Stegostoma tigrinum: one gene and its partners. The protein of the gene in region 1 purifies or fractionates together with the protein of each later gene. This does not show direct contact. Links are inferred from orthologs where the notes say so. Each region holds a gene or a part of one and is shown in the gene's direction. Other genes may lie near its edges. The genes, in order: rnf111, ski-like protein, skia and smad2.

The links.
Region 2: the proteins of rnf111 (region 1) and ski-like protein purify together in Homo sapiens (affinity purification with western blotting; 3 studies listed by BioGRID). This does not show direct contact. The link is inferred for Stegostoma tigrinum from reciprocal best matches to the Homo sapiens genes RNF111 and SKIL.
Region 3: the proteins of rnf111 (region 1) and skia purify together in Homo sapiens (affinity purification with western blotting, with the first as the bait; 3 studies listed by BioGRID). This does not show direct contact. The link is inferred for Stegostoma tigrinum from reciprocal best matches to the Homo sapiens genes RNF111 and SKI.
Region 4: the proteins of rnf111 (region 1) and smad2 purify together in Homo sapiens (affinity purification with western blotting, with the first as the bait; 3 studies listed by BioGRID). This does not show direct contact. The link is inferred for Stegostoma tigrinum from reciprocal best matches to the Homo sapiens genes RNF111 and SMAD2.

Annotation. Positions count from the first base shown.
Region 1 is NC_081386.1:17,460,412-17,468,059, forward strand, and holds the start of rnf111 (E3 ubiquitin-protein ligase Arkadia), read left to right. Parts: upstream 1-4,629; 5' UTR 4,630-4,833; intron 4,834-7,648. Other genes in the region: sltm (SAFB-like transcription modulator), read right to left, coding at 2,303-2,384, 3,252-3,527. UniProt on the Homo sapiens protein: E3 ubiquitin-protein ligase. Required for mesoderm patterning during embryonic development. Acts as an enhancer of the transcriptional responses of the SMAD2/SMAD3 effectors, which are activated downstream of BMP.
Region 2 is NC_081367.1:61,088,246-61,095,979, forward strand, and holds the start of ski-like protein, read left to right. Parts: upstream 1-4,728; 5' UTR 4,729-6,041; coding exon 6,042-7,157; intron 7,158-7,734. UniProt on the Homo sapiens protein: May have regulatory role in cell division or differentiation in response to extracellular signals.
Region 3 is NC_081381.1:23,171,936-23,179,752, forward strand, and holds the start of skia (v-ski avian sarcoma viral oncogene homolog a), read left to right. Parts: upstream 1-4,808; 5' UTR 4,809-5,240; coding exon 5,241-6,149; intron 6,150-7,817. UniProt on the Homo sapiens protein: May play a role in terminal differentiation of skeletal muscle cells but not in the determination of cells to the myogenic lineage. Functions as a repressor of TGF-beta signaling.
Region 4 is NC_081354.1:160,634,296-160,642,196, forward strand, and holds the start of smad2 (mothers against decapentaplegic homolog 2), read left to right. Parts: upstream 1-4,898; 5' UTR 4,899-5,328; coding exon 5,329-5,615; intron 5,616-7,901. UniProt on the Homo sapiens protein: Receptor-regulated SMAD (R-SMAD) that is an intracellular signal transducer and transcriptional modulator activated by TGF-beta (transforming growth factor) and activin type 1 receptor kinases.

The DNA of each region.
Region 1 (7,648 bases):
AAACACAAGCTGAATTGCAGGGGTGAGCTGACAGTAATAGCTCTTAAAATCAACGCAGCATTCAAGAGTGGTTCCTGGGATTAAGGTGGTTAAGAGAAAAGTTTGAACAGGCTGTACCTGTACTTGATGGAGTTGATTAAATTGAGAGTCTGTCTTACTGAAACACAGGCCAAAGGGCCTTTTCCTGTGCTCTACTGTATTGGATAACATAATATTCTCAGGAGGTTGACACGATAGATGAGGAGATATGTCCCTGTGCATAGGAATCTAGAACTCAGGAACATGAATTCAAAAATGAGGGATTGCCCATTTAAAAAAGAAAACAAACCATTGTTTCTGAGAGTCTTGGAATTATGAAAAGTCAGGCTAGGTCAAAGTACATTCAAGATTGAATTGAGTTGATTGAGTTAGATAATAGTTTTTGTCACCCCGAGAGTCAAGAGTTATGGGAACAGTGGGTTGGCAGACAGAAACAGAATGAATCTTACTGAATGGCAGGGCTGACAGATATTGCCTAATTAAGCAAAACATCAAGAAATCTGAATTAAACTAAAATTCCAAAGGGATCAGCGGAGAAAGATTTCAACAACTTGAGTCACATCAAGCACAAGTGTAAGTGTGGTTGTCGGAAGGGACATCACGTCAGCTCAAGAACCTTGCTGTAAGCAATCAGTAGCCTCGTGCCTCAGTTCCAAGTGTCCTCACCTGCTTCAATGTTTATTTATTGGTGTTCAGTTCCGTTCAAACCTTCATAATTAAGCAGTGCACTGACAAACTGCAGAACATGCAGACTTAAGCTAAGTACACAAGCCAACAAGAGTATGCATTGAGTGGCCATATCATGAAGACTCGAGAACACAGAACACTAAAGCACAGTACAGGCCCTTCAGCCCTCAATGTTGCACTGACCTATATATGGAATGCTCTGCCCCAGAAGGTAGTGGAGGCCAAGTCTCTGGGTAGTTTCAAGAAAGAGATAGATAGAGATCTTAAAGATATTGGAATCAAGGGTTATGGGGATAAGGCAGGAACAGGATACTGATTGTGGATGATCAGCCATGATCATAATGAATGGTGGTGCTGGTTTGAAGGGCCGAATGGCCTACTATTGTTTAAACCAAACTGAAGCCCATCTAACCGACACTATTCCATTATCCTCCATATGTTTATCCAATGACCATTTAAACGTCCTTGGCGAGTCTACTACTGTTGCAGGCAGGGCATTCCACACCCTTACTTCTGTCTGAGTAAAGAACCTACCTCTGACATCTGTCCGAAATCTATCACCCCTCAATTTAAAGCTATGCCCCCTCATACTAGCCATCCAGGGAAAAAGGCTCTCACCATCCATCCTATCTAATCCTCTGATCATCTTGTATGTCTCTATTTGGTCACCTCTTAAACTTCTTCTCTGTATCGAAAACATCAAGTCCCAAACATCAAGTCCCTCAGCCGTTCCTCATAAGACCTTCCCTCCGTACCAGGCAACATCCTGGTAAATCTTCCCTGCATCCTTTCCAATGCTTCCACATCCTTCCTATAATACAGCGACCAGAATTGTACGCAATACTCCAAGTGCGGCCACACCAGAGTTTTGTACAGCTGCAACATGACCTCATGGCTCCAAAATTCAATCCCTCTACCAATAAAGCCTAATCTTCTAATGCAATCCCCTCCCTAGCTTCCCAGAGAATCCTAGGATACATCCCATCCGGCCCAGGGGACTTATCAATTTTTAAACCTTCCAGAATTACTAACACCATCTCCTTGTGAACCTCAATCCCATCTAGTCTAATAGCCTGTATCTCCCTAATCTCCTCGATAACATTGTCTTCGACTCTGACCATTAACATCTCTAGAAAAGACAATCACCGTTAATAAGCCGCAAGGCAGATCAGAATTTCAATAGTCCAGGCAGAATAGCTCACCTAATGAATTGTTAAAGTCTTTGCGCTCCCTAAAATCAAATGATTAGAGCACAATGCAACACTCCCAACTTGACAGAAATGTCACAGATGCCACTCAACACCATCTAAGGTTAAGTAGCCTACAAAATTTGCATTTCACCCAACAACCTAAATATCTAACTCCTTTGTCAGGTCATTCAAGTTTTCAGCAGCACCTCTCAAATCCATAATTGACATCAACTAAAAAGGGCAGATGTTTGGGACCTTCAGGTTGTTTCATTATTTCTCCATCACCAAGTTCAGTATTTACATTTTGGTTAAAAACAGAAAGTATATTAATAAAGTTAACCCTTTGTTACAAAATCATACACAACAAATTAAGAAAGGTGGGATACCTTTGCTTTTAGGTGTTTTCTTTGAAGGCGTATCCGAAAAGAGCTGCACGTTATCAGGATCGCCTCCCTCCTCTTCTATTACCTGTTTTGGTAGCAACAAATGCAAGTTTTCTTTTCCCAAAAACTCAATCAACTCGTTGAAAAATAATATTAAGAATTGAAACTAAATGAGGAAAAGTTGCATATTTCTGAAAATGGACATGACATGTTATAAATGCTTATACTTTACAATCAAATAGCGTCAACTAAAAGGTTTTCACTGCAACTGGTTAGTCTTAAAGGTAAATATTGGGCTTCAACCCTGTGATTTTCTTAAAACACCCAAAATAAAATTCTGCGCGTTAACTATGTAACAAATCCAGTGCAAATGTCCGACTTGGAAACCAACCAACGTGAATTTTATTTATCTTTGCTTACCCAATAAAAAGCACCCCAATGAATGAACAAAATACTATTTGGTAGTCAAAGAAGAAGATTAATTTATTTAACGGCTCCAGGTTATAAATTTTCAACAAAAGTTATGAAATAAAGCATACCACTTCAAGTGTTTATTCATTCAACTTCACAGATCATGAGAATCAGAAAGTGGGTAGCTTTTGGTTGTGTTTCTTTAAAAAAGTAAAAGCTATCAACAACTAAAAGGCGTCAATTAAACGTTCATTGGATTAAAAAGCAGTCTTTTCGCACGTTTAATCATACTGAAAACCAACAAAAGGCAAAGGATCTTTTAATCAAGATCTCAAGCACTTTTACCATGCAGTGAATATTTAATTCGCAAAGATTTATTTGTCACCGGTCAGCAAGACATTTAACCCAGTGAGCGCCGAAGCAGCCATTAAAATTTGCGCAGAGCAAAGTGGGTTAGGCTTCATCCGAGGCCTAAAGGTGACGGCGGTAAACCCCAGCGCCGACTTCCTTCCCTCTCCTTGACTTTGGTGATTTCTCACACCTGTTTTAACCTGGCGATCAGAACGGTTTTAACGCCACTAATGTCGAGATTCCGCCGCTTGAGTTCGGATTTAAGATCTACGACACGCAAGTCTGTGATGCGCCGAGCTTCATTCGGACTAGGAGCGGCAGCCATTTCAGGCGTCTTCACGGAGCAAGCAGCAGCTCGAGCGGCGTAGCTCCACCCCCAACAGGAGCCCGGATGACCAAGCTCCACCACCCCCCCGGGAAGGAGACTCAGCCGAAGTCCGCCCCGGATACCTAGCCCAGCCCTCATCCGTCAGGGATTCCAACCGTGACGGGAGCACGGATGGCATTGTCCCACCCCCACCCCACATGCCCGGATGGCCAAGGACCCGGATGGCTGCTGGAGCGCGGTGGTAGCCTGCTTTGCGGCGGGAATAGCGTGTTGTGGAGTTAGAGCGGGAACGCAGATTATCACTAAATGAAAGCACGAAAGGCACTTTGAGCACCAGGCTTCTTAACTATAAATGTTTCACAAACCATTTTCAATTAAACGATTCTGAAGATAATTTGAGAAACACGATGCGTCAAATTTCTCTGTGTTGCCTCCTTGCTTGCCCTCTTAAAAATGTTGAGTATTTCCAACATTTAGTGGTGTCGTGGATGGTCACGAATGAGGGAAAAAAACACTTCAATGACTTAATCGAAACGTTGAAACGATTTAAAAATGACTTCCTCAACCTTTCTTTAATTGTAATCAATGCTCAACAACCAAAAAACATAAGTTGAAAAAACTCAACAGGTCTGGTAGCATCTGCGGAGCGAAAGGAAACGTTACGTTTCGTGTCCAGTGATCTTTCTTCGGAATCAACAACCAAAATCTCCTTGGGCCGCTTAATCTTTATAATCGAGGTCCCGAACGTCAAACTTTCCTGCTGCTTTGACCTCCTGTGTTCATCCAGCTTTACACCGTGTTATCTCAGACTCTCCAGCATCGGCGGTCCCTATTATCTTTGTAATCTTTATATCGTTTATGTTCGCACCAAACACCCAGGATTTTTAAGAGCATTATTAGTAGGCGCTATACAAAGGCAGGGCATTTGTTATGGTAGAAACTGGAAAAATTACGCATGCGCCGGAATTTCCCTATTTTCCTAAAATCGTGTTGTGGGAAGTCGGAAGACCCCTGGCGATAAACCAGCGGTGCAGGCGGGTCCGATTTCACCATCCCACAGGCGACAAACTTAGAGGCAAACGTGCTCCTTTTCGTACCATTGACGTTTTGGGAACGGCAAACAAAGCCGGTGCCGTAAAGCGTGCGCGATGCAGCCGTCAAGCGCCGGAAAGTAAAGGGCGGTCTGTGTCGTGGAAAGGAAAGGAAGCCGCAAAGCAGATGCGGGCTGTGTCGTGGAAAGGAAGGGAGGCCGCAAAGCAGATGCGGGCCGTGTCGTGAAGGTGGAGCTGCCCCGTCCGATGCATTGAGCAACCCCGGGCTGAGCAGCGAAGCTTCGTCGTTTGGGGGTTTCTGTAAACAAGAGGCTTAAAATCCTCCCAGAAATATCTGAATAAGGCCTTGTGGAAATAATGCGAGGCGGCCAGCACCTTACAGAAAAGCTTCGGTAAGCTCTTTTCCGAAATTATTCGCCAATATTTGGAAGTGTAAAAAATGTCTATCCTCTTTAATTTTAATTCACTCCCCCCGACTCCTCCCCGCAATCTTCTCTCCATTCGCGACCGTTTTCTTTTAAAAAAAGTCGTGATGAAGACCTGGCCTGGTGAGCGCCTTTCGAGCTGCTGACGTTTAGATGTTTGAGAGTGATCCCCCCGCCTTCCCAACAACATCAACAACTCCTCAACAGAATTTACAGAATAGGAAAGGGGGGGGGGGGGTGTTGCAGAAGTTTGAATCGTAACTGATCATTAGATAAATCTTACAATATTTTTTGCATTTTTCAAGGCGTAGTAAAATTTAGGTATCCAGCTGGTGGTTGCCGGGGAGCGATGTCGGATTCTCAACAGCAATTGAATGTCTGTTGATTGATTGAGAACCCTGCAGTGTACCGTATAGAGGAGGAGAAAGGTGTTTGGAGGGTGATTTCTGTCTGCATTTGCCTTATATACTAATTTTAACACCACAGCCAAGGTTTGACGATGGAAGGTATCAGTTTTAGTTTGGTGTTGCCCGTGATTATTCTAGTGCATACTTCAAATTAGTCTGTCAAAGCTTGACATTCAACATGTTCTTGTGTTTTTTTAAAAATTTTTTTTGCTTTGAACATTTTTCTCATTTTATACTTTGAAGTGTCTACCCTATGAAAAAAAACTTTTTAAAATACTTTACAAAGAACAGTTTGGGTTTTAGAGTCAGAGTTGAACCTCAAAGAAAGTACAGAAGTGCTTCTCAGGTCCAGTTTAAATTTTTGATTGTACTGTCAATAACAGGATTGTTTCTAAGTTTAATTTGTCATCACTAATATTTATTGTGACTGTAAGGTAGGTTTATGTCCTTTATGAGATGAAGAACAAAATATTTATAATTAGCAATCAGTTAATTTTGTGTGTGATGTAGTTCTGTGTATGAACAGTAATATTTATACTATTTTCAGAGGAGGAAGCAGGTCACAACCCAGGGGAATTGTGACATGGTTTGATGTTGAAGTACTATATGTACAGCTTTTTAGTAGGATATAATGGGTAACAGAAAATTAAGTTTGTTTGCATTAAAATCTGAAATTTGTTTGGCCTGTGTGCCACACAGCACCATGTGATATCAAAGATAATGAGAACTGCAGATGCTGGAGAATCTGAGATAACAAAAGTGTAGAGCTGGATGAACACAGCAGACCAAGCAGCATCTTAGGAGCACAAAAGCTGACATTTTGGGCCTAGACCCTTCATCAGAAAAGCTATGTCATATGTTTATTTGTGGCCTTCGGTAAACCAATCTGTTGTTTAAAAAAAAAACTGCTGAAGCAAATGTTTCACACACGGTTTTGTGTTTGTTTCAATGATTTTTTTTGTCAGGTAGAATTTGGTTTTGGCATGGATGTTGCAACTGTGTGGTATTTTGAATACTTAAGTGGTTACTTGAAGAGATCCAATTTTTATTTTCAGTTGTTTAACTGTCTTGTTTCAATATGGACTTTGAATCATAGAGTTTGAATCTATAAATTTTGAAGCTCTTTACAGAAGTGGAATAAAATAAAGCTTTCAAAGTTGCACTTAAGTTTTGATCTAAATCTGCCTTCAAGCTTTTTTTATTATTGTTGACTTTTTGTGAAGTCCCTGATCAGACAATACTAGAATGACTTTTTATTACCTTCAGTATCTTCAAAAGAAAAGTTAGCTTAGTACTTTTGGTGAGATATTTCATCAGAGCTGCTTTCTGCCTTGTGTCCAAGTTTTGGGAAATGTGTATTTTTCCACTTGTTGACTGACATGTTGTTTGTAACACTCCTGCTTTAATTTGATATCCAGTAGTTTTGTTTAATGTTTGTTTAATCAAATGCTCCCGAGCTCTGTTTTGTTAAGCTAGCCCAACAACAATTATTTTGAGCCAAGTTGTCTAATCCCTGTCTTGACACTTATAATTGGCAAGGATTTTTGGTTAATATTGTAGATGCCTTTAGCTGAGTGTATGAAGGACAAAGGAATAGAAGAACAGGCAGTTGAGGTTAAATGAGGCTAATGTGAAGCACAAACACCCGTATGGAAATGTTGACAATGACCTGTTTCGGTGCTGTAACTTCTCAGTGAATCATAGGATCTTGCTTGACTGGCTTGATTGTAGATTCCAGTTAGGGCAAGCGGTTGGTCTATCATTGTTTTCACCAGCCCGGTCTGCCAAGACAAAGGTTGGAGTTGTTCTTTATTTTCACGCTGGATTATTTGCATACTTGTGAATGTGTATTTTTGTTAGAGTCGTTACATATGAGGGATTCTGAATGTACATCTAATGATGCAGTAAAAATTGCTCCCAAAGTACAGGGTGCAGTGAAGCAGAGCAATAGCCACTGCCAGATTGCAAGCACCAGTTGTCCATTCGTGCAATCGCATCAACTTCCTTTATCAGTCTGCATTTTATCACTGGTTTGAGCAATCTGAGGAGAGATTGAATAATCAACTTTCTAAATTAACATTTGTGTCAGAATAATGACTGCAATAATTCAGATGTTGAATAATGTCTTGTTCTTCCACTAAGAGCAGGCCTGTTAGGATTTTCTACCAAAATATAATGTAATTGGGAGCCATCAGTCTTTAAAAGCCACAGCCTTTAATATGGAGAACAGTGGCTGGGTGCCTACAAGTTATTGCACACAGTTTGGGACTGCCCTGTGTATGCTGCACATCTGATTGCATCCTGTTCTCACTTGGATGGGGAGAGGAGACGGAGGGACAAACACTCATTTTAACAGGCACCAAATGGTTTTATTT
Region 2 (7,734 bases), on another chromosome or scaffold:
TTTAAACCTGAAATATTGACTTTCTTGCTCCTCTGATGCTGCCTGACCTGCTGTGTTCCTCCAGCTCCACACAGATACCACGGTGATGCAAATCTTGAGTTGGAGCCTCTGAGCCCTTAACACGTGTTTCAGAATTTGTTGCTTCTCAAGCTAAGTTGTTCCATCACAATGTGCAAAATTGCCCAGGTATGTCTTGTGTACAAAAAGGAGGACAAAACTAACCCAATTACCCTCAATCAGTCTACTCTTGATCATCAGTAAAATGTTGAAAGGTGTCATCAACAATGCTATCCAGCAGCGTCTGTTCAGCAGTAACCTGCTCACTGATGATTTGGAATCCACCAGGGCCAGCCTTCATTCAAACATAGCCAGAGGTGAGGTGGGAGTGACATACCATGACATCAAGGCTGCATTTGACCCAGTGTGATATCATGGAGCTGTAGCAAAAGTGAAATTAATTGGTATCAGGGGTAATCTCTCGACTGGTTGGACTCATTCCTGGCATATAGGAAGATTTTTGTGGTCATTGGAACTCAGTCACCTAATCTCCAGGGCGTCGCTGCAGGACTTCCTTAGGCTAGTATCCTAGGCCCAATCATCTCCCGCTGCTTCATCATGACCTTCACTCCCTCATAAGGTCAGAAGTAGGGATGCATGCCACTAATTGCACAATGTTCAGCACCATTCACGATTCCTCAGACAATGAAATGGTCCATGTTCAAACGCAACAAGACCTGGATAATATCCAGGCTTGGGCAGACAAGTGGCAAGAAAAACTTATGCCAGGCAATAACCATCTCCAATAAGAGTTGATAAAATCACCACCCTTGACCTACAATTGTGTTACCATCATTTAAACACCCCCTGTCAACATCTTGGGATTACCATTGACCAGAAACTCAAGTGGACTTGCCACATAAACACAATGGCCACCCCAGCAGGTCCAAAGTTAGGAATGCTGTAGTGAGTAACTGACTTCCTGACTCCGCACAGCCTGTCTACTATTTACAAGACACAAGTCAGGAGTGCAATGGGATACACCCCACTGGCCTGGATGAGTGCAGCTCTAACAACACCGAAGAAGCTTCATACCTTCCAGGACAAAGCAGATAGGTTGACTGGCTCCACATCCACAAGTATCCACTCATTCCACACTGACGCTTAGTAGCAGCAGTGCGTATTATCTACAAGATGCACTGCAGAAATCTATCAATGATCCTTAGACTGCACTTTCCAAGCCCATGACGATTTGCATCTCAAAGGGCAGAAGAGACGTGGGAAAGTCACCATCTGCAACTTCCCCTCCGAGCCGCTCACCATCCATTTTGGCAAATATATCATGGTTACTTCACTGTTATTGGGGCAAAAATCGTGGAATTCCCTCCCTAAGGGTATTGTGACTCAAACTACAGCACATGGACGACAGCAGTTCAAAAAGGCATCTTACCTCCACCTTCTCAAGCACATATAGGAATGGGCAGTAAATGTAGTGTTCCTCCAGCTCTACACTGTTATCTCTGACACCAGCAGCTGCAGTTCTTACTATCTCTGGGCAATAAATGCTGGCCAGCCGGCAATGCCTAAATCCCACAAGTGAAAAACACAAAAACAGAAGCATTGAGTCTGTACTGCCAGAAGGGTTTTGAGGTCAGAGTCATATACATGTTTGTAAGACGATGACTTTGTTTCTCTGATAAGAGACTCAGTCAGTTTGATATAACTGTGAAGACACAGGCAATTTTTTAGGATAGTTAACTGGCTGTCTGACACCTTTGGAAGCTTTGCGATGTCAGAAACCCATCATATATATATTCAATTCAGAACATAGGAGTAAATTAAGGTATAAAATGACAGTGTGATTGTAAAAGATTAACAGCCCTGAGGCCGAGAGTTCAATCCTAACAGCACAGTTTCAGTTAATCTATGCAAGTAAATCTGTGAGCTAGCATCAGGTATAATGACAATGAATACTGCACATTATAAAGCCCAATGTTTTTGTGATAAGGGAGCTGTATTCTCAATGTAACTCTAACACCGCAGCATGTGGTTGACTGTCAAGCTTCTGAATAACTGGTCATACTGTGGACCCGCCAGAGTTTCCCACATCCTGAGAACTGGTGGAAAATACTTCGGTTTAGTTCTGAAAATACGATTCATATTTATCTTGAAACATTAACTCCCTCCATAGATGCTGCCATCCTGCTGAATTTCTTCATCTTAAAGATTTCAGGGCATTATTTAGAATTCTTCCATACATTTATCTCTCAAATCAATACCTTAAAACAAATTTTCTGGTCATTATCAGATTTCTCCTTTGGTAAAATGGTCCTGTTTTCTGTGGATAGACCCTTGATGACAAACTGTGTTCGGGCAAACCATATTACCAGTTCACAAAGTAGTCCTCAAATGAATAGTAATGACTAATTGGTTATTAGCTGTAGTCTATGAAGGACAGTAAGAATCTCTCTCTCCATTAGAAAGAGACAATTGGTTAAGCTTGAGGGACATCATCGTATCATCGAGTTACACAGCACAGAAACAGACCTTTCAGTCCAATTCATCCATGCAAACTGATTTAGTCCTATATGTCAGCATTTGGCACATATCCCTCTAAATGCTTCTACTCCTACAATAAGAGAGTCATAGCGTGGTACGGTATGGAAAACAGACCCTTTGGTCCAATCAGTTCATGCCTATCATGTTTCCAAGCTAAACTAATTCTACCTACCTGCACTTGAACCATATCCCTCTAACCCTTCCTATTCATGTACCCATCCGGTGGCCTTTTAAATGTTGTAATCGTACCCACTTCTACCACTTCCTCTGGCAGCTCATTCCATACTCTTGTGAAAATCTTGTCCCTTAGTTACCTTTCAAATCTTTCCCCTTTTACCTGAAACCTATTGCCCTCTAGTTTTGGACACCCCTACCCTGGGAGAAAGACCTTGGCTATTCAGCCTACTCATGCCTCTCTTGATTTTATAAACCTCTGTAAGATCATCCTTCAGCCTCCAACACTCCAGGGAAAACTTCATATCATGTTGAAATTCAGGCAAATGAAACTCCACGAATACCACAGCTGGTACAGATCCATGCTGTTGGTGTCTTTCTGTACCACATCCTAGCCATCTAACCAACTGAATTAACTGACTTTAACCATGAAAAAATGCATGCCTGAACTATTAATGGTTATTCAGGTTCAGATCAGGACCCATCTTTCACCAAGCTCACTATAGTCAGTCAATGGGTGGAGCTTGGCAGATTCAATTTAGTAGTACTGTAGAAATCACTGAACCAGTAGACATTATGTACCATAATAATAAATAATATAAAAAGAAAGGGTGCAGGAAAAAAATATCTCAGTCTAGCAGCACTGAGCAGAAAAAGATGAAGGCTGAGGTTATGACCTAAAGTTCAACTTATTTCAAAATCTTAGTTTGTTTCTTCATCCCTTCAGATGGTTTTACGCACTTGTTTGTCCTTACCTTATAAAGAACCTCTGTTTCTTCACTATGTGCGTTACCAGCTGTAGCTCATCTTTATGGTCATCCTGGGAATAGGATCAAAACCAGTCAGTAATCTCAAATGGGTATGTATTGGACTGTACCATCCTCTCTCACCTTTTTGGTTTGGAGGAAATGGTCAAATTGGTCAGTGGAAGATTAATCATGCGTTAAAAAACATACCTTTTCTCTGTAGGCAGGCCCATGAAATTGAGGATGTTTTGCTTCCATTTTGTTTCAATGGATATTGCAGACATTTTTTTACTTTTGCGTGGGTGCGGACATCAGGGGCAAGGTCAGCATTTGCTTCCCATCCCTAACTGCCCTCAAATTGAATGGCTTCCCAGATCATTTCAGAGAGAAAGTAAGATTCAATTTCATTGCTGTGCATCTGGAGTCACATGTAAGTCAGGCCAGTTAAGGATAGCAGATTTCCCTCCCTGAAGCACATTAATGAACAAGATGGGTTTTTTCTGTAATTGCTGATGGTCTCACAGTCATTGTTACTAATACTACCTTTCAATTCCAGATTTTGTGAACTGAATCTACATTCTGCCCATGCTATTAGAATCATCCCAACAGAGAATCATTCTCTTTATTTACTAGTCTCCCCTAGCACTAAGCCACCATCTTCTCCCAAAGCCTCTTCCACATGTGGAGTAAGTAGTGCTTGAGCGAGTTGCTGGGTGGATGGTTTTATAATTATGTGGCTAAGCTACGTCCCCAGATGAACACTGGCTGTATCTTATAATTGTGATTGTCCACTGGAACCATTGGTTTACTTTGGTGCATTCACTGCCACTAATCTTTCTTTGTTGGATTAGTCCCAGATTTTAAAAAACAAGTGGGAGAGGATGACCACTCAAGCTTTTCTGTAGAAGAAGGCTATAGTCTTGAAATAAAGATTAAAGATTTATTACATAATACTGACTGGGTGGTTATATTACATGTAATATGTTTTTAGGGAGGTAATGGTAATATCACTGGACTAGCAATCTTTCAGAATAAATTTTAAAAAAATCATTTGAGTGATTGCGAAGGTTCTTTGGGATTTCCAGAAGTGGTGAAGGACGCCACTGTGTCAACAGATAATAATTTACCTGCATTCTTTGCAGTCGGGGTGTCCCTTTAAGGGCAATGTGGTCAGGTGACCGGGCGTTCAGGGTCGGAGACTGTGAGTCAGCGCTCCGTCTCGCCGGCTGCGTGACGTCGGCGTTTCCTGAGTGGGCGGCGGTGACGTCGATGCTTTCTGTGCGGCGGTGCTCCGCGGCGAAGCGAGGGAGACAGACAGACAGATAGACGGGGCACGACAGTCTGTCTGTCTTTGTCACACAGCCGGTCCCCGGGGAGGTGAGGATTGTCAAAGACGCCTTGAGGAGCACTGCGAGTAACAAAAGCGGGAGAATTGTGCGGGTGTGGGAAGAGGCGGAAGGAAGGAAGGCCTCTGGGAAGAGGAGGGGGTTCCGAGTATTTGACAGGTCCCCGGGACAGCGAAGCGGAGCGCTCGGCCTGTCAGCAAGCACCAACCCATCCGGCACTGGGACTGTGTAATCATTGACATACAGTGGTTATATAATTATACATACAACTCAGAGATACATGTGAGGGGATATTAAATTGAAAGCGGCCTGGAGTCTGGAACTGTCAGTCCTCAGTCGCCAGGACTCCCTCTCTCCTTTTTAACCCCCCTCCCCCACTTCATTTACATTTCCAACCTGCTTTTGGATTAGAGAAGCCGCCGTCGATCTCAAGAAACAGGCTGTCCTCCCCCCGCCCCCACTCCCTGGGGGAGGCAAGATTTCAGTCAGCAGGCCCTCCCTCCACGTTGCTGCAAAGGAGCCGAAGTAGGGTGGGAGAGAGAATCGTCGTTTCATCGAGGAGAGGGTAGCGACGCCTCCCGATTTTTATTTCTCTCGTTCACTCTCCCAAAGTAAGGGGCTTCATGCCAGTCTTCAGTGAGTCGCACCAGGCGTGCCTTGGATCGACAATGTGTTAAATTCAGTCGCGAGAAAGAAAAGAAATTTAAATTAGGAAGACAGAAGTACGGACGATTTGCCGTGTCTTTGGCACATCCCACGTGAAATAGTGGTTTGGATCCAAGTGTTTTTCTGGTTAGAAGGTGTATTTCCTCCCATCTGGCGAATGACCAAATCAGTGCTGAGAAATTTCAAACGAGTAGAAGGTTGGTTCGCCACCTGCTGAGCAGATCGTGTTTGTGTGTGTGGTTTTCGTTACTCGTCTGAGTATTGGCAGCGGAATCGGACTGTACAACCCGGCACTGTGGTGGGATTAATTTGGCTGGGATGTGCAAATGTGGAATCAGTCGAAATTCGGATTTTGCCTTGATTAGCTTGGTGATATAGAGACTTAAGACATTGTTCACAACATTCTAATTTCTACCAATGATATGTGACCAGAATGTATTGAAATGCACGACGACCATCGTGTGCTAATTTTGTAGGCGACAGTCATTTAATCTAAAGTTGTGCCTGGATATATAAATTGGGGGAAAAAAAACTGGTACGTTTCCCAGTAGCCATGACAAGTGTACAAGGAGCTATGAGAGTGATGGATGGAGTTAACTTGGGTGAAGTGATTGTAAAAAAGGAGCCAGTATATGACGGAGTGGGAGAACGAAGCAACGTGGAAAAGGAGTTTGATGGTAGAATTACACATATGCTCAGAGCCCCAGGAGTAAAGCTAGAAAGTGGACAGGGCCTTGGAGTGGAGGAGACAGCGCACACAGATGTGTGTGTGCCCAAAGCTTGCCTGTTGTCAGGAGTTCGTCCATTGGATCTTAACCCTGCTCTCAAACACACATTGGCTCAGTTTCACTTGAGCAGTCAGAGCTCTCTGGGTGGGCCAGCAGCATTTTCGGCACGTTGTACTCAAGAGTGTATGTCGCCAGGGGGGCTAATGCCCATGACATCACCCCCTGTGCTGCCAGGACCATTGCTTATACCCTCAGACAGTTCAACTGAGCTCACGCATACTTTATTGGAAGGAGAAACTATCTCCTGCTTCATGGTTGGTGGGGAGAAGAGGCTGTGTTTGCCACAGGTCCTAAATTCAGTTCTGCGAGATTTCTCTCTTCAACAGATCAACACTGTCTGTGATGAGCTGTATATTTATTGCTCAAGATGTACGGCAGAACAGCTACAAATTCTCAAAGTCCTAGGCATCTTGCCTTTCAATGCTCCCTCTTGCGGACTTATAACACAGACTGATGCACAGAGGTTATGTAATGCCTTGGTTCATGCAGGCATACTGCCTCCAGATGCCAACAAACTCCCTGGCAAAACATGCCTTGCCCAGTTACAGAGCACTGGTTCCAGTTTTGAAGTAGAACATTGGTGTCTTGGGAAATGTCAAGGTCTGTTCGTGCCGCAGTTATACAGTCACCCTGATGCTACCTGCATTCAGTGTCTGGACTGCCACATGATGTTTTCACCCCAGAAGTTTGTCCTGCATTCGCACAGGTCTCCAGACAAGAGAACCTGCCACTGGGGCTTTGATTCAGCTAAATGGCGCTGCTATGTGCAACTGAGCCGTAAATATGCAGAAACATCTGAAGAAAAGTTCTTACAGCAATGTTTGGAAGAAATGAAAGACAGATTCAACCTCAATAACCAGCGAAAAAGACTGCTTCCAAAGGTAAGTTCCATTTTTCACTTGAAGGAGAATTTTGCTGATGATATGTTTCTGTGAACAAATATTTCCTGGTCAATACTTACCTCTCGACCAACCTCAGTGAAAACAAATGATCTGGCATGAATTTAATTCCTGTATGTGGTAGATACCCTGCATTTTAATACTGGATACTACGTTGGCTGTTGAATACTGAGATGCCTAAACAGTTGAGATAGTTAATGTGAGACCTTTCTTTTTTCCAAGATATCTTAAATCTGTGTTTTGTATGGGGTGAGTGGTGCATTGGCTTAAATGTAGTGATTTTGACATCTGAGAAATCATTCAAATTCAACCGGACTGATGGGACCAAAAAAAATGTCATCTCTACTCGTTGCCTAAATGGTTGCAAGTGAAAAAAGTCTCACTCCAGTTCCAGATGAGCCTCCAATACAAAACTGGCCATAATTTTACATTGACTGACAATCTTCCTAAGACCACAGCTTCTGGTTTAGAAAATAGAAAACACAGTATCACTCTGGTGTAATTGTAAGTACCCTGTTGTCTTTGGGATTTAGACATAATAGGAGTATATAGTGTGACA
Region 3 (7,817 bases), on another chromosome or scaffold:
AAACTTTAAGAGTACTTTTCAATAGAATATATGTCACAATTGCAGTGCTGATGACATTCATTGTCTTTAGTAGAATTTGTAGCATGTGCTGAAGTTCCCTTCTGTATAAAGTTGTAGCCTCCAACTCATGATGCTACACAACTGTGCTGCAAATAAAAACACAGGAATTATTTGCAGTTTTAATTTTTAATGAGACCCCCCTTCCTTCTTTTGTGATTTCAAGTTTTTTACATTCCTTCCCCACGACCCCACATAAAGCAGATAGGGGAAACCATTAAGAAATGCAACTAAGAATATCTTCAAATTGCTAAGAAACAATGCACATCCAAAATTTGGCTTTGGGCCTAAGTTCTTTTGTCTGCAATTATTGTTTTAAAGAACATTATGACACCTGTTTTAATGCCAGTGTCTATGTAATTGATTGGGAAAAAAGCTATGTTGATCACTTATAATGAAAACACGTTTCAGCTTGAAAGGCAGCATGCAGACGAAGTATTCAAATTAAATACACCAAATTGAATACACAATACATCTTGAGTTAGTTAATCTTCATCAGATGGCAGCATCCCTGAATTAGGAAAGTGAATATCAGATCGGTTCTCACTTCTGGTTGCTATTCAATGAGCCTCCTGAATAGTCGATGTATGGATGTGAGCAAGGAATAAGAATTGACTTGCTTATGGTGTGCTCCCATGACTAAATAGTCTACTTATTCTGACTGTGTAAACTCAGAGTATGAATTAATTAGGTGATAAGGGAATTAAATCTGTATCCAATGGGAGTCAATGCTTCTGACAGTGGAAGAAAGTAAATTGATTTTAAAAAAGTAATTAAAATGTTTTTAAAAATGCTTGTACAATTTCGTTATACAAAGGCTCAATATACTTACTCGGCAACAATCTCCAGGACCTCACCATTCAGTATATAAGTCCTGCCCCGATTTGCCTTTCCAAAATGCAACACCTCGCATTTGTCTAAATTAAACTCCAACTGCCACTCCTCGGCTCATCAGCCTATCTGATCAAGGCCCATTGTACTTTGAGGTAAACTTCTTAGCTTTCCATTACACCACTAATTTTGGTGTCACCTGCAAACTTCCTAACCATACCTCCTACGTTCACATCCAAATTATTTACATGAATGACAAAAAGCCATGAACACAGCACTGATCCTTCTGGCACACTGCTGGTCATAGACCTCCGGTCTGAAAAGCAACCTTCTACCACCATTCTTTGTCTCCTACATTTGAGCCAGTTCTGTATCCAAATGGCAAGATCTCCCTGTAATCCACGTGGATTCATCCTTCTACAATGTGAAACCTTGTTGAATACCTTATTGAACACATCAACAAAACTGTTCCTATTCAGGAATTTCACTGAGAAACTACAGCGTGAAAGTACAAAAAGGGTAATTGAGAAAAGGTTGCACTCTATAGAAGTGGAGGTTGGGGTGCAGAGCAGAAGAAACTTTATTATGCTTTAAAATATACTGCAGCTTGTCAATTTGAATGATGGAAAGTGGAACAGCTACTGCACTGAACAGAATGACAAGTCCCAAGAGCAGGGGAAGAGATTATAGCATTTTGAAAGAGTTTTGATAGGCAGGGTGTTGTATTGCTCCTCCTGGACCCACAATTTTTTTTAAGAAACAAGAAACTTGCAACTTCAGTCACATCTTGCAGTGATCCCCTCAAGAATAACTGATTATAGCATTCAATGCCTGGTGCAACTGGGACTAGCATGCATGATAAGCTCTTTCCAATTTTTGATTAAAAATATATATGGTGACCTACAATTGTTGGAGCTACCTAACTACGACAGGAGTGCTGCATGCTCATCTCAAAGTCTACTTGGAGAGAGGCAACAGGATTCTGCAAAGCACAGGGAGCTGGGTCTCCTTGCACATGAATCACAAAAACATCAGCATGCAGGTATGGTAAGTAATTGGGAAGGTAAACAAATGCTGGCATTTAATGCAAGGAGGCTGGTGTACAAATGTAGGGATGTCTTGATACAACTGCTGAAGTCATTGATGGGGACACATTTAGAATACTGTGTACAGTTCTGGTCACCTGAGTTAAGAAGGGACACATTTGCATTGAAATCTGTTTAGAGGTGGTTCAGTTGACTAATTCCTAGGATGAAGGATTTGTTTTAAAAGAGCAAGTCTACCAAGTTATGTTAATTCCCATGGCAATTAGGAGAATGAGAATAGATTTTATCAAAAAACATAAGATTCTGAGACAGTTTATCAGGGTGGATTCTGGGAGAATGCTTCCTCCACTGGTGGAAGCTAGAATGAGGATTTGATTTAACTTGATTTATTATTGTCACATGTACCTAGATACAGTGAAAAGTTTTGTTTTGAGTGCAGTCTAATAACAGTGAGGAAGAAGTTGTTCTTGAATCTTGTGGTACATGTTTAAGCTTTTGTATCTTCTGCCTGATGGAAGAGGTTGGAAGAGATTATAACCGGGGTGGGAGGTCCTTGATTATGTTGGCTGTCTTTCCGAGGCAGTGAGAGGTATGGGTGGAGTCAATAAATGGAAGGTTTGCTTGCATGATGGACTGGGCTGTGTTCACAACTCTCTGTAGTTTCTTGGAGTCCTAGGCGGAGAAGTTGCCATATACCAAGCCATGATTCATCTGGTTAGAATGCTTTCTATGGTGCATCTATAAAAACTGATAAGAGTTTTTACAGACATGCTGAATTTCCTGAGCCTCCTGAGGAAGTTGAGGCGTTTTTGTGCTTTCTTGACGGTTGTATCAACATGGGTGGACAAGGTCAGATGTTGATGATCATCACTTCTCGGAACTTGATGCTCTTGAGCATGTCCAAAACACAGTTTAATTATAAGAGGCATCCCACTTAAGACAGGGATGTGATTCTTTTCTCTCAGAGAATGGGGTTTTGTTTATGGAATTTTTTTCTCCGTTAACTGATAAAGCTGGCTAATTTAATAATGTTCAAAATTGAGTTAGACAGATTTTGGACAGACAAGGGAGTTAAAGGTTATGGGAGTCAGCCAAGTGAGTGGAGTTAAGGGCAGATTAAATCGGCCATGATCTTATTAAGCAGTGAAGCAGGCTCAAAAGTCTGAATGACCTAGATCTAATGCTATTTCTCAAGTTATTATTTAGCTAGTTGAATTCTAATATGCTGTTCACAGATGGAAATTTCTAAGCACTTGTCATAATGATCTAAACTTTCTGGTCTTGGCTAAGTCAGGCATATCTATTCAAGTAAGAGTGCGTACTCTAAATTGAGTAAACAGAGAGCAGTATCTTGTTGATTTTTCATTGACTTCTGATCCTGAAGTACTGTGATTGGATTCTGCTTGTATTAGACACCCAGATGACCGAAAAGGAATTAAGGAGTAAGGCTTTGGTTGATTGTGGAATGAGGATTTTACTGTGCTGGATGAATTTCACTAATTCAGCAAAGACTGAAAATTGCACCTATCGCTTCCTGCATTATTGCCTGATAACATAAAGATTGGTACAGTCACTATAATTAAGAAAATATATTCAAAGATGGCAAATTGCAGCAATTTATTCAAACTTTAATTACATTAGAGTTAAATTTCACTACACCTATACAACATGTGTACATTATACATTGACTGTGGCACTGTCATTTGTCTAGTATAATTCTGGGAAGTGATAAATGACAATACTCAAGAGATAGTAAGAAGGGTCTCGGCCCAAAACGTCAACATTCCTGCTCCTCTGATGCTGCTTGGCCTGCTGTGTTCATCCAGCTCTACACCTTGTTATCTTAATGACAACACTCAATTGGAGTTTGTCCCAACATTACACAACTGTTAGATGAGAAGATTTACATTTATATAGCACCTTCACAATACCAGATAAGTTAAAGTCTTTTACAGCCAATGAACTACCTGTATTTTGAATGATAATGACCAGAATAATACATTTTGTGCCAAAAACAGAAATTGCTGGAGAAACTCAGCAGGTCTGGCAGCATCTGTAGGATGACAGCAGAATTAACACTTCAAATCTGGCGATTCTTCATCAAATGTGATGTTAATTGAGACATAATATGGGCCAGGAATAAGTTTCCTGCTTTTCATATAATGCAAAGCGATCTTTTACCACCACTGAAAGGACAGGTGGGGGCTCATTCCAGCATCTCATCCAAAAGTCAGCACCTATGACAGCACATCAAGCTTCAGCATTGAAGAAGCGTGTCGAGCTTTTGTGTTGAAATTCTGGAAAGTTGAACCCACATTTATCTGAGATAACAAGGTGTAGAGCTGGATGAACACAGCAGGCCAGGCAGCATCAGAGGAGCAGGAAAGCTGATGTTTCGGGTCTGGACCCTTCCTCAGAAAAAATTTTTATCTGACTTGGAACTCAGATTGCTATTAAATATCACTAAACCAAAAGTTTACCAAGACAGTTGGTACATGCAAGGTTTATAATGTAAAAAGAACAAAAGTTTATAATGTTAAAAACAAAACAAATGGAGTTCTGTGTATTGCATTTCTTAAAATTATTCATTAACGCAAGGTTACAGTAATACTTATTGTAGAATTGTCCAGCTTACGACAAAAAACCCCTCCCGCTTACGTTATACTAGATCAAACTGACGATCTGTAAACCACAGAACGTGTTTTGTAGAAGAAGCTGCCAGCGACCAATCCCGGTTATTAATGGTTTCTAGTGAACTTTGGAAAAAAATCTCTCCCTTCCGCGTGGCAGTTTGAAAAGCTATTGGTTTGTGAAACCAATTGTTGCATGTTTGTAGCCTGCTGTTGAAATCGGTGGGCAGTGTGCTGGTTCCTGGAAGAGCCCTGGGGGAGTCAGACGCATTCTTGGCTGAGATTCAATGCCTGACCTAGACGCCGACAAACAGAGGGGAGAAGACAGTCTGAGCTGCAAGGTCGTATTGTGTGGATGTGCCGCGTCTTTACGCTTGTAGATCGTAAAAGAGGATTGAAAAGAAGAAAAAAGAAACAAAGTACAGTCTAAAACCAATTGGGGACTGGATTTCGAAGGACTGGTTTAACCAGCATTTGCTTGAAGATCTTTTTAAGGGCACGATTGTGGATATGTTTGAACGTAAGAGTGCTGCAGAAACACAACACGCTTAGAGACTGGATTTCATGAGCTACTTTAATATTGTACGCGGTGGTGGGATAAACTTGGACGCCGTGGCTTTTTAAAGGATTCAGTTGATTTTATACAAAACGGGTGTGCTTTTTAGGGCCAAAAATCATGGAGACTGTACCAAGATCTAGTTTTCAGCCTCACCCAGGACTCCAACAAACCTTAAAGCAGTTTCATCTCAGCAGTATGAGTTCGCTTGGAGGACCCGCAGCTTTCTCTGCTCGATGGGCTCACGAGATGATGTACAAAAAGGAAACTGGGAAGGAAACAGATCAGATTATTCACCTACCCATACAGCCCCCTCCTGTCATGCCAGGACCCCTTTTCATCCCATCGGACCGATCAACGGAGAGATGTGAGACTATTCTGGAGGGGGAAACCATTTCTTGTTTCGTGGTTGGTGGGGAGAAGAGGCTTTGCTTGCCTCAAATTCTGAACTCCGTCCTTAGAGATTTTTCCCTTCAACAGATCAATTCGGTATGCGATGAATTACATATTTACTGCTCTCGATGCACGGCAGACCAGCTGGAGATTTTGAAAGTCATGGGGATCTTGCCCTTCTCTGCCCCATCTTGTGGCTTAATTACTAAGACAGACGCAGAGAGGCTTTGCAATGCCTTACTCTATGGAGGAACTTACCCACCCCATTGCAAAAAAGAATACTCAAGCACCATTGAGTTAGAGATCACAGAGAAAAGCTTCAAAGTATACCATGAGTGTTTTGGAAAGTGCAAGGGACTCTTTGTGCCTGAATTGTACGGTAATCCTCATGCTGCATGTATCCAATGCATGGACTGTAGGCTGATGTATCCTCCTCACAAATTCGTAGTACACTCGCACAAATCATTGGAAAACAGAACCTGCCATTGGGGTTTCGATTCGGCCAACTGGAGAGCCTATGTCCTTTTGAGTCAGGATTACACGGCAAAAGAGGAGAAGGCACGATTGGAACAATTACTGGATGAAATGAAAGAAAGATTTGACTACAGCAACAAATACAAAAGAAAAGCACCGAGGGTGAGCGTTTTTAGAACTTAAGACGCATAGTTTTTTTATAGATTATAAGTTAACTGTTTACGGTACAGAGCTTTTAATACATTAAGGTTAATATTTTAACTTGTTTCTCAATGTCAATAATAGGCACTACAAACATGACTCAGAACTGAACGCAATAAACTCAATTCTTTAATAAAGGTTAAATCATTAATTCTCGGTTTCATAGGTATCGATACTGTATATGCCGGTGTAATGGTACTATAAACAGTTTCTGGAAGTTTGTTTCTCTTTAAATTTGTGGAAATTATGTGTTTGAACCTCTTTCTCAACGTACTTTCCCTTCACTTGGCGGAGAGGTTTTAAAATCATGTATGATACATTAAATACTTGAAGGTGTATGTATTTTAATCGTTTCCCATTATAAATAATGACGTGCTAAGTTGAAGCATTAAGTTGACTGGGCTGTTCAATGTGATAGTTTCAGACAAGGGTGTGTGCTTCGTTGCTCACTAATATGTGGGAGTGGTTTTGTGAGATGTGCATTTGTATGGAGAGAGCTGACTCTGTGAACAACTGCCAAGGCATGGCCTGTGTAGGGCAGTGTTTTATCCAATCCACATCAATTTAGCAGATCTTGAGGAGATTTAATGCCGAAAGGCAAACTGGGGAAGCTGTTTAATCCGTTCTATACTCAAACTAGATTTCAACATGATCATAGCTGTACTTAGGTTTGCTAACGTTTCAATTGGAAACATAGACGCGATTTAAGAATAAAAACTGAATCTGTCCAGACAATCTATTCCAAATTATAAAACTAAACTGTTCAAGAAGCTACGCTACCATAATGTTGCGCTTCAAAAGCCGGGAAAGATCACAAACTTTCCTACCTCAAAGTGCGTTATTTACCTATCAATTCGGATTTCATTCCATAGTTCATCCAAAAATGAAACAAGTTTGTATTTTTATATTTTTCTCCTCTAACAGCACCCATCCCACCCCATTTCATTCTGATTTCCAAAGAGAAGATAGCAGACAGTGCATTGATTGTTCTTTGTGCGTGGGTAAAGGTTACGGCCGTGAACCTTGGCTACCTCTTGACTGAATTGAAAAGGAAACGCTCAACAGTTCATTTGCATCAATTGTTGCGAATTTTAAAAAGCCGATGAGGCATACTCGGCACATTGAAAGTCAAACAGCAAAATCGTCAATGTACCTATTCAATCCCTCGCGCTTTTGGATTTTTTTGTTCCTATTGTAATACTGTACATATTACCTGGGCAATTACAGACAGTTTAGTAAGCAGAAAAAAAGACCTGTGCCAAGGAATATCGGATTGCATTGCTTAAGTCGTTGTAGGAGATATGCTTCCGAAAGAACAGTTCAGTTTAAAAAAAGTTGTTGCAGTGTTTTTGGTAATAAAAACTAATTTCTGTGTAAAAATTGATTTAAAGATCTGATTGAAGGTTTGAGAACTAAGCTCATACATTACGAAGGATGGTTTTATATGCATCTGCAAAAACGAACATGATTAAGTAATGCAAGAAAATAGACATTTAAGAGAAAATAAAGTACCATTAGTGCCATATGAGCAAAACCATATTTTCTACAAGTTTTAAAGGGGCAATTCCAGAAGCTGTTCTGTTGGAGATCAATCCATGAAGATTCTGGATTCTTAATATTACTTGGATA
Region 4 (7,901 bases), on another chromosome or scaffold:
GCATATGAATGATGATGGGATAGTGTAGGGGGAGGGGCTTAGATTAGTCCACAGGTCGGCGCAACATCGAGGGCCAAAGGGCCTGTTCTGCGCTGTATTGTTCTATGTTCCAATAAAGACTGGCCAGCCAGTGATGCCCACATCACACAATTTTTTTAAAAAATGTGGCTCCTCAGGTACTGAAGCAGTCTATATTCAAATGCAAAAAGACCTGGACAATATCTGGGCTTGGGCTGAAAAGTGGCAAAGAGTTCCAAAGACACACAATTGTCAGGCAGTGACCATCTCCAAAAGAGATAATCTAACTATTGTCCCTTGACATTCAGTGGCATCACCAACACCGAATAATCCACTATCAACATCCTGGGGGTTACCATTGACCAGAAACTGAGCTGCAGATACCAGATAAATACAGTGGCTACAATAGCAGGACAGAGGCTAGGAATACTGTGGCAAGGAACTCACCTCCTGACTCCCCAAAGTCTGTCACCATCTACAAGGCACAAGTCAGGAGTGTGATGGAATACTGCTCAGATTCCTGGATGAGTGCAACACCAACAATACTCAAGCTGCTTGACACCATCCAGGACAAAGCAACCTGAAGAATGGTAATACCCAAAATGTTGACTGCTCCTTTCCGCCAGATGCTGCGTGGCCTGCTGTGTTCTTCCAGCCTCCTGTTTGTCTACAAAGCAACCTACTTGGCTGGCATCACATCCACAAACATTCAGTCATTCCACCAATGATGGTGAGATATAGCAGAGTGCCATCTACAAATACATTGTAGTAATTCGCCAAAGCTCCTTAGATAGTGCCTTCGAAAACCCAGAACCATCCATTTCTAGAAGGAGAAGAGCAGCAAGTAATGGGAACATCACCACTTACAAGTTCCCCTTCAAGCCACTCAGCATTCTGACTTGGAAATATATCACAGTTCCTTCAAATGTCACTAGGTTAAAGCCCTAGAGTTCTCTCCCTAACGCCATTGTGGGTCTATCAACAGTGAACGGGCTGCAGTGCACCAGATGTCAGCTCACCACCACCTTCTCAAGGGCAACTAAGGACAGGCAATAAATGCTGGCTCAGTCATTGACACCCGTGTCTCACAAGTGAATAAAAAAAATGTGTTGGTGTTAATTCTCCAAAGTTTCCTAGATTCTGGGAAGATTCTGTCAGAATGGAGAGCAACAAATATAACCCATGTATTCAAGAAGGAAGAGAGGTAGAAAACAGGAAACCATTGACAAGTTAGCTTGATATCTGCCATGGTCAAGGTGTTATCATTAAAGAAGTTACAGCTAATTTTATGGTCCAGACAAACTCGCCTCAAAAACATTTAAGATAGTTTGGGCTTCAACTTTTTCTTATTTTTAAAGGCAGGTGTAAGGTGTTGAGTCCTGGCTACAAATCAATTGGTCAACTACCAAGCTTGAAGCAGAACACACTTTATTTTTACATTTAGTAAAATGCAAACAAAAAAAAATTGGAATAACTTAGAGTCAGAGAATCATACAACAGCTGAGCATGGAAACAGACCCTTCAGTCCAACTCGTCAACACTGGCCAGATTTCCGAAATTAGTCTAGACCCATTTGCCAGCATTTGGCCCAAATTTCTTTGAACCCTTCTTATTCATATACCCATCCAAATGCCTTTTAAATGTTGGAATTGTAGAAGCTTCTACCACTACCTCTGGCAGTTCATTCCATACATCACCACCCTCTGTGTGGAAAAACAGCCCCTTAGGTCCCTTTTAATTTTTTCTCCTCTCACTTAAAACTGTGCCCTCTAATTTTAGACTCCCCTATCCTGGGGAAAAGACCTTGACCATTCACCCCATCTATGTCCTTCATGATTTTATAAACTTCTATAATGTCACACCTGAGCCTCTGACACTCTTGGGAAAATAGCCCCAGCCTATTCAGCCTCTCCCTGTAGCTCAAACCCTCCAAAAAGGATCCTAGGCAATCCAAAATGGAAGAAGGGGAAAAATTATGGTTGTAAGAGCTGCTCCTTTTTTTTGAGGTATTTTCAGGATTGGAACTGGTTTCCTTGCACGTTTGGAGCAGTAATTACTATTTTATAAGCTGTTGCATTGTTTTTTGGAGCTTAACTCTATTGGAAAGCTTAATAGAATAATAGATTATTTAACTTGTAAACAGTGACTGTTCCAATACAGTACCATTCAATAAACATATCCTTGGCAAAGGCAAATTCAGTAAAATAGATTGTCTTGCATGCAATTCTAGCAAGGCAAGAAGAGAACCCCAGCTTATTGCAGTAACAGGGAGAGAATAGCTTCCACATCCAGCTTCAAAAACCCAGCAACTGTTGAAAGCTTAAACTAAAATCCTGGTTCTGCAGGATCTTGACTCCACCCCTTCATGCCGTCCCTACTATTCCAACTTTCAAAAAAAAACCAAGGCACTTCCAGGCACTGGAGCAGTACCACCGATGCGGCCTGTGCAAGATCCTGTGAATCTGCTGGGAAGAAAGACGCAACACCAGCTTCATTGACCAGGCCAACATTCCCAGTGTCAAGGCACTTACTATCTTTGGTTGGTTACAATGGGTTGGATATGTCATCCACATGACCAAAATGAGACTCCCCAAGCAGGTGCTCTACTCCCAGCTTTCAAACAGCAGGCAAGCACCACATGCACTGAGGAAGTGCCTCAGTATTACCCTCACGCCTCACTGATGAAGTACAGCATTCCCACAGAGACCAAGACTGTCCAAAGTGAAGGAGGTTCATCCAGGAAGGCATCAAGAAGGCATTGAGACTTGCCATTGGGAAAAATTGGGAGGCAGGCGAAAACAGCGCAAGGACTGTTCTGCCACACCAGTTTCTCGTGAGCACTACCTGCCCCAAATGTAACAGAGCCTATGATAGTCAAATTGATTTGTACAGCCACCTATGGACTCACCCTGACAATGGAAGTGTCATTCTCATCTGCGAAGGACTGCCGATGGTGATGCAGATATCCCAATTATTAAGGCTAATAGACTGCTATCCTTTATTACAAAAGCAATTGAACATAAAACTAGAATACTAGGGCATTGGTGAGACCACTTCTGGAAAACTATGGTTTCTTTACCCAAGGATGTAAAGCATTGGAAGTGTTTAGTTGAGGTATGAACAGGTTGCCCTCTAAGGAAATGTTGTACAGTCTGGGTTTGTTTCTACTGGAGTTTAGGAAAGTCTTTGTTGAAGTCTACAAGATCCTTAAAGGTGGCTATGAAGAGGATATGAGATAACAAGATGCAGAGTGGGATCAACACAGCAGACCAAGCAACATCAGACAAGCAGGAAGGCTGACGCTTCGAGCCTATGGTTGAGCACAGAATTAACGGGTACTGTTTGAAAATTAAGAAATGCCTTTTGGGGCGTAAATTGTTTACTGTTAAGTTTGTGCGTGGGTTGGGAACATTCTGCCTCAGAAGATAATTGTTTGGGTCATCAAACAATTTGAAGTTGGAAGCAAGGGAATGAAAGTTATTGGGTTAGAGGGAAGTGTAGAATTCAAACAAACAGATCAGCTAGAATCTTCTTTAACAGTGGAGCATTGGTTCGAGGGGCCAAATGGTCTACTCTGTTCCTAATTTGCATGTGATAGAAAATGTGAAAAAATATTGCATATACATAGGGGCGACTTGGTGGTTAGCACTGCCGCTTCATAGCACCAGGGACCCAGGTTTGATCCCAAGCTTGAGCGACTGTCTGTGTGGAGTTTGCACATTCTCCCCGTGTCTGCGTGGGTGTCCTCTGGGTGCTCCGGTTTCCTCCCACAGTCCGAAGATGTGCAGGCTAGGTGGATTGGCCGTGCTAAATTGCCCATAATGTTCAAGGATGTATAGATTAGGTGTGTTATAGGGGGATGTGTCTGGGTGGGATGTTGAGGGTCAGTGTGGATTTGTTGGCAGAAGGGGATGTTTTCACACTGTAGGGACTCATGATTTATACAAAATTATTCATAAATATGTAACATAACGGTGGCAGATGTAGGGGTTCAGATCAGATCAAGACAAGAAATGGCTTGTTAATCTAGTTTTGAAACACAATTATTGCCACATACTTAAAATAGTTTTCAGCCCTTTACCATTCATAAAACAATGAGATAATTGGAGTTTTAAGGTTGGACTTTTTTGACGGTGGTGCTGAGGAGATAGGTTCAAGGCTGCAAGCAAAATGCCCACCAGTCTGTTTAATTTTCAACTCTTTTGATATCTAGGATTTCAAAAGCACTGAAGCCTGGATACTAAACAATATCAATACAAAAACCAAATGTTCAAACTGCATGTGTTTCACGCTAATAGTAGCCATCCCAGAATATATCAAGTTGGAAGATGCTCCAATTAGTGTACATGATAACTAAGCAATTCTAACACAAAGTAGAAAGCTGATGAGAAAATTCAAACTGTTCTTCCTTGCATTGAAAATCCAGCAGATAGGAGTGAGCCGGCGGAAGAATACACCCAAAGGGCATTTTGAATAATAAGCTCATATAATAGGTAACTTTAACTGATAGGCCAATTTAACAACGTTTGGATTTATATTAGCAAAAAAAATGGATTTCCAGCTTTCAATTCAAGTCCTTTCCGCATCGAAAAAGGTGATTAGTTTGAACGTAACCGCTGGAACTATTTCAAGTGGAGGAACACACCCCTTGATCGTTTTGCCTTCCCCCTCCTTCCCCAAAGAAAGGGAGGAAAAAAGTTTTGCTGAGGCATCAACCAAACCTGTTAACCGGACGTTCCCCGCGCACTGTTGGATTGATTGACGGGGGATTCTGTCCAATAGGCGCGCGGTATGTGGCCGAATGGCGGGGCGTCTGGGGCAGGCGGGCCAATGAGAGTGGGGGACGCGCGAGCGCTGGGGGTGGGATTTCCAGGTGGAGAGAGCGGTCGGGGGGAGGCTGTTTAATCGTTTTTCTCCGTCAATCAAAGAAAAAGGGAGCGAAGAGGCCAGCGGGGAGCGAGGGAGAGAAAAAATAAAATAAAATCTCCTCAGGGGAGGATGTGAGAATTAATAATAAATTACCCAGAAGGCTAACGACATTTTTTGAGGGCAATTTTGATTTATTTTCTCTCGAATCGTCTCGGTTGATAAGCGGCGGTTAGCGAGCAACGCGAGGCACAATTGTGTGAAATTTTGAATCGTGATTGCCGTTTTCTTCCCCTCCTTTTCCAGCCTCAGTTAGCCCCTTTTATTGTTATTTTCCTCTTCTTCTTTACCTTTCTCATTTTTCCCCCTCCCTCCCACCCACCGTCGCCCTATACCCCCACGCCCCCGCCCCCCCATTCCCACTCCCCATTCCTGGCTCGAACCATGTCGATCTTGCCCTTCACGCCGCCCATCGTCAAGCGTTTGCTGGGCTGGAAGAAAGGCGGCGAGTCGCAGTCTCCGTCTTCTCAGTCTCCGTCGCAGGCGCCGCCGCCGCCGCAGCAGCAGCAGCAGCAACAACAGCAGCAGCAGAACAACGGGCAGGACGACAAATGGTGCGAGAAAGCCGTCAAGAGCCTGGTGAAGAAGCTGAAGAAGACGGGCCAGCTGGACGAGCTGGAGAAGGCCATCACCACCCAGAGCTGCAACACCAAGTGCGTGACCATCCCCAGGTAAGGAACGCCTAGCTTCTGCCAAACCTCTCTTCCTAAACTGTGCAGCCAGGTTAAGTTGTTACATTTTAATGATACACTTTTTTTGGGACAAGTTTATCTTTGTTATTTTAAAAGTCAACTCGATTATTTACCAACGAGTGTATCCGTAGGCCCTGTGGCCAAATGCACGATTGTTTCACTTTTTTTATTTTCGGAATCTGAGGGAAATATTTTGTTCCAGTTTCTGCTAATTATAAACATTGGTAATACTTGACACTTGGTTGATGTGTATTTAGATTTTTAGAAATGTGTATTAACTTTGTAATTTTAGGTTGTAACTTCATTAATGTAGCTTTGTTCAAAAACCATAATAATTTTCTTGATGATAAAAAGGGACAGTTTTATTCCATTGAACAGCATACTGGTTTGGATAAATTTGTAATTTTTGTGATAACATGGTGTGAAGCTGGATGAACACGGCAGGCCAAGCAGCATCAGAGGAGCAGGAAAGCTTGACGTTTTGGGTCGGGACCCTTTTTTCAGAAACTTTTTTTATCTTCAGTTAGCATAAAAATAAGTTGTTATTACTGTTTGTTGAAGGTTAGTGTTTTCTGCTCAAGTACAGACTCAAGCCCCTGGTTAATGCTTTGGATTTGATATTAGAACTTTTTATATAAAACATTGTTAGGGGGAAATCAGGGTTTTCCTTTTTTGGCATATTGTTAAAGTTGCATTTCTTATCAGTCTGTGTTGCCTCGAGAAAGTGCTCCTTACAGTGATGGTTTCATGAAGGTGTTTGATAGGAAACTTCAGTATTTTGATTATGTCTGTTAGAATGGTAGTACTTGGAGGTGGCAGTATTTCCATACCACTGTTTTTGCCTCTTCGGTAGCAATAGTTACGAATGTGGTTAACTTTTTTCCATTTTATACGGAGAAGCGCATGCAGGATGTAAGTAGCTGTCATTAGGATGATTTTAATCTGATTTCTTTAGTGGATAGTTTCTTGAAACAAATGTTTTGAGATTCCATTAAAATATTTTTACAGAATTTGTTTTTTGTGCTCAACTTTTTTCCCTTTTAAAATGGATGCACTTTCTTAAATGCCATGGCAAAAATAAAGAAGGGCTCTTTTTCCTGAAATTCACATCTGATCCCCTAGCGGAAATAAGAAATGTTTATTCATCTGAGCCAAAATGATGGAACTATTGTGTTTATCTTGGCATGCTATCGTTTTCTCGCCCAAATAAGGGGCACAGAAGACATAGTGAATATATTATAACTGCAGTCCCTTTCTGCAGTTTAGTTCTGAGTCATTTAGGCTGGTAGCCTAGTTAATAACTGAGAGGAAAAACAATGACCTTTTTAGTTAATAGTCATTCCATTTTTTAATTCATCACATGTTGTGGAGCATTTCCATTTAAAAACCTGCCTGTGTTCTTGTAGAAATTTATTGTAGACTCCTGGAATGTCGTGAGTTTTTATTTCCTGGAACAGAATCTTCAATTGTTCTAATTTGTAACAACTCAAAATTTGAACTGTAAGCTGAACAGAATCATTGGATAATTACAGCATTAGCAGAAGATACTGAAAATCCTCAGTATCTGATGCAAATGGATAATGTTGGAGATCTTCAAACAAAAACAAGTTATGTCCCTGTTAATGGCCTGTTTTTACATATTTGAATACTGATGAAGTTATTTATGCATTTCCAGCATTGTGTTTTCCCATTATGGAAAAGTGGCGAAAAACCCAAATGATTTATTAGCCTAAATTATCTTTCCTTTTTAATGTATTCATGTAATTTATTTAATGCTGACTGTGTCCAACAGGTTTGGGTAAGAACCAAGTTCCAGCATTATTTAATATGCATCTTGAGTGTGTATTCCAGTTTGGTGCAAATGTCCAAAGCTCATCTTTAGCATTGATCTATAAATTTTACACCAGTTCGATCTACGTGGAAATGGGATGGATTTATTTATGGTTGTATAGCTAGTAATATTTTAAAGTTGGCTAGTTCTGCCAATAGGAGTTCACTGGCAAATGTGAATCAGACCTCTAATAGTGTAAATTTAATTTTATTTCTGTGTATTGAATATTTTGCTGTTTCTAGAATCATGAGGCCATTTGGCCCATCATATCTGTACATGATTTGTGAAAGCTATCAAAAGTTAGTTTCTTGTCTTTTCTCCCCCCATAAATTCCAGCATACTTTTGTATTTCAAGTATTTATTCAATTTCTTTTGAAAACTTAAGTCAGCTTCCATCATACTTTCAAGCAATGCGTTACAGAATGAGTCAATTT